Linked DNA regions of Neurospora crassa OR74A. The protein of the gene in region 1 purifies or fractionates together with the protein of each later gene. This does not show direct contact. Links are inferred from orthologs where the notes say so. Each region holds a gene or a part of one and is shown on either strand. Other genes may lie near its edges. The genes, in order: NCU01201 and NCU03748.

What was found.
Region 2: the proteins of NCU01201 (region 1) and NCU03748 purify together in Saccharomyces cerevisiae (affinity purification with mass spectrometry; 3 studies listed by BioGRID, with this or other methods). This does not show direct contact. The link is inferred for Neurospora crassa OR74A from reciprocal best matches to the Saccharomyces cerevisiae genes TRM112 and LYS9.

Annotation. Positions count from the first base shown.
Region 1 is NC_026505.1:3,220,836-3,224,221, reverse strand, and holds NCU01201 (trm-112), read right to left. Parts: upstream 1,787-3,386; 5' UTR 1,638-1,786; coding exon 1,452-1,637; intron 1,261-1,451; coding exon 1,063-1,260; 3' UTR 627-1,062; downstream 1-626. Other genes in the region: NCU01202 (hypothetical protein), read left to right, coding at 1-79, 141-280; NCU01200 (peptidyl-prolyl cis-trans isomerase B), read right to left, coding at 2,096-2,349, 2,592-2,743, 2,813-2,939, 3,001-3,325. UniProt on the Saccharomyces cerevisiae protein: Acts as an activator of both rRNA/tRNA and protein methyltransferases. Together with methyltransferase MTQ2, required for the methylation of eRF1 on 'Gln-182'.
Region 2 is NC_026505.1:2,286,927-2,291,271, forward strand, and holds NCU03748 (saccharopine dehydrogenase), read left to right. Parts: upstream 1-1,478; 5' UTR 1,479-1,762; coding exon 1,763-1,776; intron 1,777-1,885; coding exon 1,886-1,968; intron 1,969-2,065; coding exon 2,066-2,343; intron 2,344-2,402; coding exon 2,403-3,374; 3' UTR 3,375-3,758; downstream 3,759-4,345. Other genes in the region: NCU03747 (hypothetical protein), read left to right, coding at 1-194; NCU11261 (hypothetical protein), read left to right, coding at 4,292-4,345.

The DNA.
Region 1 (3,386 bases):
TCTCAGGAGGGCAGTGACAACGGCAACACCACTTATGATAACCGCCCGCTGTTTGCGAAGTATCAGTTCTTCACTCCTGGTATGTAATCATCATCTCAAGTCGGCGCTTTTTTCAAGGCAGTAGACTGACACTGAACCAGGCATTTTCGTCGCCCTGCTCGCTCTCATTGTCATGCTCTCCATCCTGGGCGTCGGACTGAAGGCTCTCGGTAGTCTCGAAGTCTCATATGGCGCTTTCGACAAGGAGATGGGACCGACTGCACAGAAGAAGCAGCAGTAAAGCGCTTGGAGGCCCTGTTCCTCGTGTTTTGTAGGGTTTGGGATGCAACGAACAACAGATGTGCATGCGGCAGAACACAAGTTTTGTTTTGCTATGGAATCATGCTATGTATATGGGTTTGGGGGACAGGCCGGAGTTCGAGGGTTCTTGTTCTTGGTTGGGTATCATTAAAGCATTGCGCATTCGTACACTAGAACAAAGCAAGATGGGAATGAAAACAAGAATGCACGCATGAGCAATGATATGCATGAAACATGGGCAATAACTAACTTTGGAAACTTCAACCTGTCACCTTGGTGAAATGATTTTTTTTTTTTTTTTTTTTTTTTTTTTTTTTTTTTTTTTTTTTTTTTTTTTTTACGCCGCTGATATTTGCCAGATAATCCTCTATTGATGTTTTCCCTTACAGAACGCCTTGAAAGTGAACAAGTAAAATGCTGAAATAATTAACCGCCCCTCAAGAAATCATTCTCGCCATACTCTAGTCTCTTCAAGGACAGGACGACTCCTGCGGTAGCCCTTAACCAACCCTGGGCAGTCACCCAAACCATCCATCCATCCATCCATTCATTGCTACCCGCAGGTGGCCAGCCTTCTGGCATCGCATGCATTCCCCGAGTCCGTGTGGTAGGAACCACTTCTCCATCTCTACCACTCCTTGGTGCTTACTATCCGATGAAGATTCCCCGATTCTCCAACAGGTCTCTGGCAACCAGTCCAATTAGTCCAGTTGACACGACCATCCCTGAAAACGCCTCGCCTTGCTGCCTCGCGCTCCACACTCATACCAAGTGGCTAGGCAAGAGGAAGTTGGCCACGCCGTTCTTGACGGCGTACTCGTGTCCGCAGTGGCCGCACACGAGCTTGCCCTCCATCATTTGGGTCTCCATGAGCAGCTCGTGCAGCTCCTTGAGGAGAGCCTCGTCGGACTGAAGATCCTCTGGCGAGGGAGGCTGCTCGGGGAGGGTGGGGAAGCCGAGCTGATGTGTGTGTTAGTTGAGGACGTCGTTGAAATGCTGTTGTTGTTTGGGGTGAAGTGAAAGTGTGGGAGGGTGAGGGAGGTGTGAGATGGACGTGTGGTATTTCTCTGAAAATTGGGGATGAAGATATATTGTAGCTCCATATCGAAATGGTGGGTCGGCTTTGAAAATACAAAAAGAGTTCAACGTACTTCGGTAGAAGTAGTCCGCAGAGCAGCCCAGTCGATGCGAGGCAAGACATTGATCAGAAGTTGAGGGTTGATCTCGATATCATCTTTGGCCAGCTCGGCCTCCTTGGGGTGCAGCGGGAACGAGTCGTTGGATGACTTGCAGTTCTTGACCGCGCAGGTCAGAAAGTTGAGTGTCATGACCTTCATCTTGGTGGGTTTTGGTTGATTGAATATTATGTTTCTCAACTAGTTTTGGATTCGGCCAGCGAGACCTAGAGTTTCGGGGAAGATAGTGAAAAGATGTTCAAGGTTTTCCTGGTCGTGGTTTACGAGTCGGTACTGTCTTACCAAAAATGTAATAAAAAAAAAAAAGTTCGATATCCCAGCGACTCGAACGGATAAAAATGGATCCACGTGATGCTACTTTTATGCTTCGACTTACAGACACGCCACTACATCGCCGAAGCAACCATCACAACCATTACCGCGACTGATATACATGGGAATAAAAGCGAACTATCCGATGATTTCATTTATGCCCATGATTTGATCCTTTTTTTTCTTCTCCCTTTCAACAATACTCGTCTGGGCTACTCACGCCCGCCCAGACCCTGATAGCTACCTGTTATGCAGCCTTGTCAGATTTCAAATATTCGAGATATTGCCTACTCCATGCCCTTTCCGTACGTACCCTTAGGGGCGCGACGAAGGCGAATATACAAAACGAGACCTAGAACTAATACACCAAAGAAGAGGACCTTGGCGAACAAGGGAGCACCAGTGTCATCGTCGTCGGCGGTGGCGGCGGGGATGCTGTCGTGCGCAGGAGGCTTGGCATCGGTAACAGGAACAGGAGCAGCAGGCTTCTCGTCTTCGTTTGCGTACGCGGGAGATGCCCATTCCGACTGGCCTTCCAGGCCTGATGAGAAAAAACACCGACTCATCAGCACATGGACTCATATACACGGGTAAACGGTCATAGGAACAAAACGATCCACAATTGGACACCATTGTAGGTATGAGGATCCAAAAAGTTTTGCTTCTATATCCTTTCCTCTTTTATATGACTTTTCCCACACAGGTTTATGAACAGTTAACGGTGGGGAAATGGGGATTCGCAAGGATGGATAGAAGACGCTTTTTAAAGCTCCACATGGATACCTTCAGGGGGAACCTCAAGCTCGCCACTCTTGGCGATCTTGATAGGCTCAGCAGGAGCATCGCGAGGACCGGTCTTGGTGTTCTCAATCTTCTCGACGACATCGTAGCCCTCGAGGACCTCGCCGAAGACGACGTGCTTGCCATCGAGCCAACTGCGACAAAATGTGTATTAGCCAACCGGGCACTTCCTAGACCATGCGGCTCGAGTGTATTCGACTTACGAGGTGATGACAGTGGTAATGAAGAACTGGGAGCCGTTGGTATCCTTGCCAGCGTTGGCCATTGAGAGGAGACCCTTCTTGGAGTGCTTGAGCTTGAAGTTCTCATCGGGGAACTTGTCACCATAGACTGTACACAAGCGGTCAATGATATGGACCAAAGTGCATAACGGAACTTGGAAGCAACATACTGGACTTGCCACCGGTGCCATCGCCCTTGGTGAAGTCACCACCCTGGATCATGAACTGCTTGATAACACGGTGGAAGGTAGAGCCCTCATAACCGAAGCCCTTCTCGCCAGTGGCAAGAGCGCGGAAGTTTTCAGCGGTCTTGGGGACGGTCTTGCCATAGAGACCCATAACGATGCGGCCGAGGGGCTTGTCGCCCTGCTCAATGTCGAAGTAGACCTTGTGGGTGATCTTGGGGCCCTTGGCTGCCTCGGCGGACTGCGCAAAGAGCAGCATCGCGCCGAGGAACAGCGTGGCGGCGAGGAGGAGTCGCCGCAAGCTGAACATCTTGACGGTTCACGATAGTTTTTGGGTTGAGATGGAAAAAGACAATGACCTGACCCAAGTC
Region 2 (4,345 bases), about 930 kb from region 1:
CCGAGACCCACGAGCCCGCCGACATGGACTTTCACCAGTCTACCGTCTCTTCACTTCTTGGAAACGCCGCAGCCTACGAGAAGCCCTCCGGCAAGGGTCTGAAGCTCGAGGACGCATGGGAGCCTCCTGCCAGCGACGATGAAGAGGACAATGAAGAGCAGGAAGATGACGAGGAGGAGGAAGAGGAAGACTAAGACTCACGAGATTATGACACTTGCATGATGAAATATTGAGAAGAAGCATTACACCGGCGACGGTTTGGGACACGCATAGCATTTACGGGACGGATTCCTAGAAAGGCATATGGGCTGGAAGCCCTATCGAAGATGCATCGACACATCAGGAATGTGTGGCTAGGCGTTTTGGTTTGCGTTTTTTTTTTTTCCCTGTTTTGTTTAGGAGACAAAGATACCCACCTCTGCAAATAAATACATGTACATATCTGAACAACATGCGATCTCACTGTCCTTGATTCACACCACCATCTCTTATTCCTTGGCCGCCGTGCATGCCTGCAAATGTGATGTCTTGCTGAGTGTTCATAGTGACTCTCATCGTGAGCTTGTTGGGACGTCCCTGAATCAAGCCAAGAGTGATGAATAAGCGGCCAGCCGTCAGGGGAAGTGAATCCGTCAAATACTTGGGGGGTTCTGGGCGCCAAGGCTTTCTTTCCCCCCTACATTCCATGTAGGGGGAGCCGAAAAGTTGGGACGGTATTTTAAAATGGGACATCTGGAATCTTAGCGTTTCCTATACAAAAGTGTTAACGGAGGGACATCGATCATCATTGTACCACGGAACCTTTTTCTAAAATTCCAAGAAAATTTGAGAAGTAAAAGGACACGTCTAGAAAAGCGTACCCAAAATTGCATCAATTTTGGCACAAACATTAGGGAGATAGAAGCGATAGAAGTATCTTTCACTATAGAATCATCACCTTCGTTCGGCGTAGTGCAGCACACTGAAAGCGACAATATATAGTGTATAAAATACATTTGGACCTTACCATCTACTCATCTTTAAGGATGATTTTTTCAAAGCTTCTAAAATGGTTCCTATAAGTAAGAATTCTATACCTGAATTTTTCTAGAATTTTAGAAAAAAGTTTCGTAGTAGAATTGCTGACTGAAGTCGCTTCGCTAACACTTTTGTATAGGAAACGCTAAGATTCCAGATGTCCCATTTTAAAATACCGTCCCAACTTTTCGGCTCCCCCTACATGGAATGTAGGGGGGAAAGAAAGCCTTGGCGCCCAGAACCCCCCAAGTATGTTCCAGTCCCTGTTTGTGGTTCGCCAGAAACATGCACTACCCATCGGTTGACAGCTGCCAAGAGTGACTGGCGACCAGCTAGACTGTACCTCTACTGTAAAGTCCGGCAGGCAAGCTGGTGTTGCTACCCCGCCAGTGAGTGCTTGGCGCCAATTGGAACGACACCAGTGCGCCTTGGGTGCCCCTCGTTTGAGGTCAGGAAAAAAAAAAAAAAAAAAATGGAAGAAAGCGACTGACCAGAAGCCGTTATCGGCCGGAGCTCCACCAATTGCATCTCCAACCGCGAGCGATGAAGTGCGAGTCAAGTCTGGATATCGGTTGTTAGCGGACAAGGACGGCAATAACACCATCGAAGTCACCTATTGCCGGCTTGAGAGCATGCAGTGTGGGGGATCTAATTCTGATTCTTTCTCTCCTCCGGATTTAACCTGACAAACACCAAAACACTGCGTCTGAATCACATCAGCTTGCAGATATCACAAGTCGCAAAGATGGCTTCCCAACAGTAATGCCATCCCCCTTACCCCCCCTACATACATCTCCCCCGCCATCCTGCCCTCACCTCGGGCAACCGCAAGAGCTGGGGATGCTGACCTCAAGTTTCATGTCTTCAGCAAGGTTCTCATGCTTGGCGCTGGCTTCGTCACCCGCCCTACTCTCGATGTCCTCAGCGAAGCTGGCATTCCCGTCACCGTCGGTACGTCAACAGTCAATTATAACAATGCACCTCTTGTTCGACAGTCCGGAACGAAAATACGGGCATTTAGGCTGACATTTGCGCTTGTGCGCGACAGCCTGCCGTACTCTTGCCTCTGCTCAGAAGCTCTCTGAGGGTGTTAAGAACGCCACCCCCATCTCCCTCGATGTCACCAACGATGAGGCTCTCGACGCTGAGGTCGCCAAGCATGACCTTGTCATCAGCTTGATCCCTTATACCTTCCATGCCACCGTCATCAAGTCGGCTATTCGCCAGAAGAAGCACGTCGTTACCACTAGCTACGTCTCTCCCGCTATGATGGAGCTCGATGCCGAGGCCAAGGCCGCCGGCATTACCGTCATGAACGAGATTGGTGTAAGTCCATGACATATTAAATGTTTCGAAGCTTTCAATCATACTAAGTCGCTCGGCAGCTCGATCCCGGTATCGACCACTTGTACGCCATCAAGACCATCGATGAGGTCCACCAGGCCGGCGGCAAGATTCTCTCCTTCCTGTCCTACTGCGGTGGTCTCCCCGCCCCCGAGGACTCCGACAACCCGCTCGGTTACAAGTTCTCCTGGTCCTCTCGCGGTGTCTTGCTCGCTCTCCGCAACGCCGGCAAGTGGTGGCAGGATGGCAAGATCGTCGAGGTTGAGGGCAAGGACCTCATGAAGATGGCCAAGCCCTACTTCATCTACCCCGGCTACGCTTTCGTCGCCTACCCTAACCGCGACTCTACCATTTACAAGGAGCGCTACAACATTCCCGAGGCTCAGACCGTCATCCGTGGCACTCTCCGTTACCAGGGCTTCCCTCAGTTCATCAAGACTCTTGTCGACATCGGTTTCCTTGACGACACTGCGCGCGAGAGCCTGAGCAAGCAGACTCCCTGGAAGGAGGCCACCAAGGAGATCGTCGGTGCTGCTTCTTCCAGCCAGGCCGACCTCGAGGCCGCCATCCTCTCCAAGGCCACCTTCGAGTCCGCCGAGGACCAGAAGCGTATCCTCAGCGGGCTCCGCTGGATCGGTCTCTTCTCTGATGAGACCATCACCCCCCGCGGCAACCCTCTCGACACCCTCTGCGCCACTCTTGAGCAGAAGATGCAGTTCGAGGAGGGCGAGCGCGACTTGGTCATGCTCCAGCACAAGTTCGAGATTGAGCACGCCGATGGCTCCCGCGAGACCCGCACCTCGACCCTCGTCGAGTACGGTGACCCCAAGGGCTACTCTGCCATGGCTAAGACCGTCGGTGTTCCTTGCGCCGTCGCTGTTAAGCAGGTCCTGAGCGGCCAGATCTCTGGCAAGGGCGTTCTGGCTCCTATGAGCACCGACATCACCGAGCCCTTGATGAAGGAGCTCCACGAGAAGTACGGTATTACCATGATCGAGAAGACCATCTCCTAAGCTCAATGCGAAATTCTTGATGGACTGGAAGATGATGAAGAGAAGAAGAGTACTCTTTGACTAGGACGCCGAGTTTTAAATACCATGAGCGAAGCGACTGGACGCAAAGGAGGTGTTTATCCCCGATCGGACATGGAGTAGATCGAAGGCTGTGCAATGGCGGTGCTTCAGCGAAATACGAAGATACCAAATAGATCCAGGGTTGAAAAAAAGGAGAAAAGGGGAGGGAACTCGCCCGGAAAGGTACAGATGACTCATGAAGGTGGCATGTCCAACCCCCCCGGTTCATGGAGAGGCATGCCATGATACCGTAGTGGGCTATGAGGGCATGTAGGCATGGAAATAGGTAGTTGTACGAATTGACACCGCATGTTGAAGCCCTTATGAATTTCCGTCTCGCAACGCGAATTATTTGTTCGAATGACGCTGGAACCGTTCAAATAAGCCTGATCAGGTTGTGATACCCATCATGGTTGTCTCTTGAAGTGATTTGAGAAATATAGCGGTCGTGAGGCCTCGGGCACGCAGAGCTGTAGAGCTCAAAACGTGATCCAAGAAAACGGTGCAATTGAAAAATTGTTTGAGAGGTCCGTGTCCGACACAAAACAAGCATTTTTCCACTACCACCGCGGAAACCAAAACAACCGATCAAGAGATGACAAGGAGACAGAAATGTTCATACAACTGATTCGCACCGGCTTCCTATTTCATTGTGGTGTTTATGGATGAGCTTCATATTTCATGTCATATGAGAAAATTCTACTGCCACGCGATTCCGCCAACTCAAATTTCATCCTGACCGCAAAGCTCAAGACTCAGCGAACCAAACCAAAAACCGGACAGGATCCTGTGATCGAGACAACGCCAAACTGCCATCACAACAACCACTACCGAATTTCAAGGGCGCAAAAGAGGAAATGGTTCAGTATATCTTCACACCCTGGCGCGACCGTCGCGAACTCCTCGCTGTT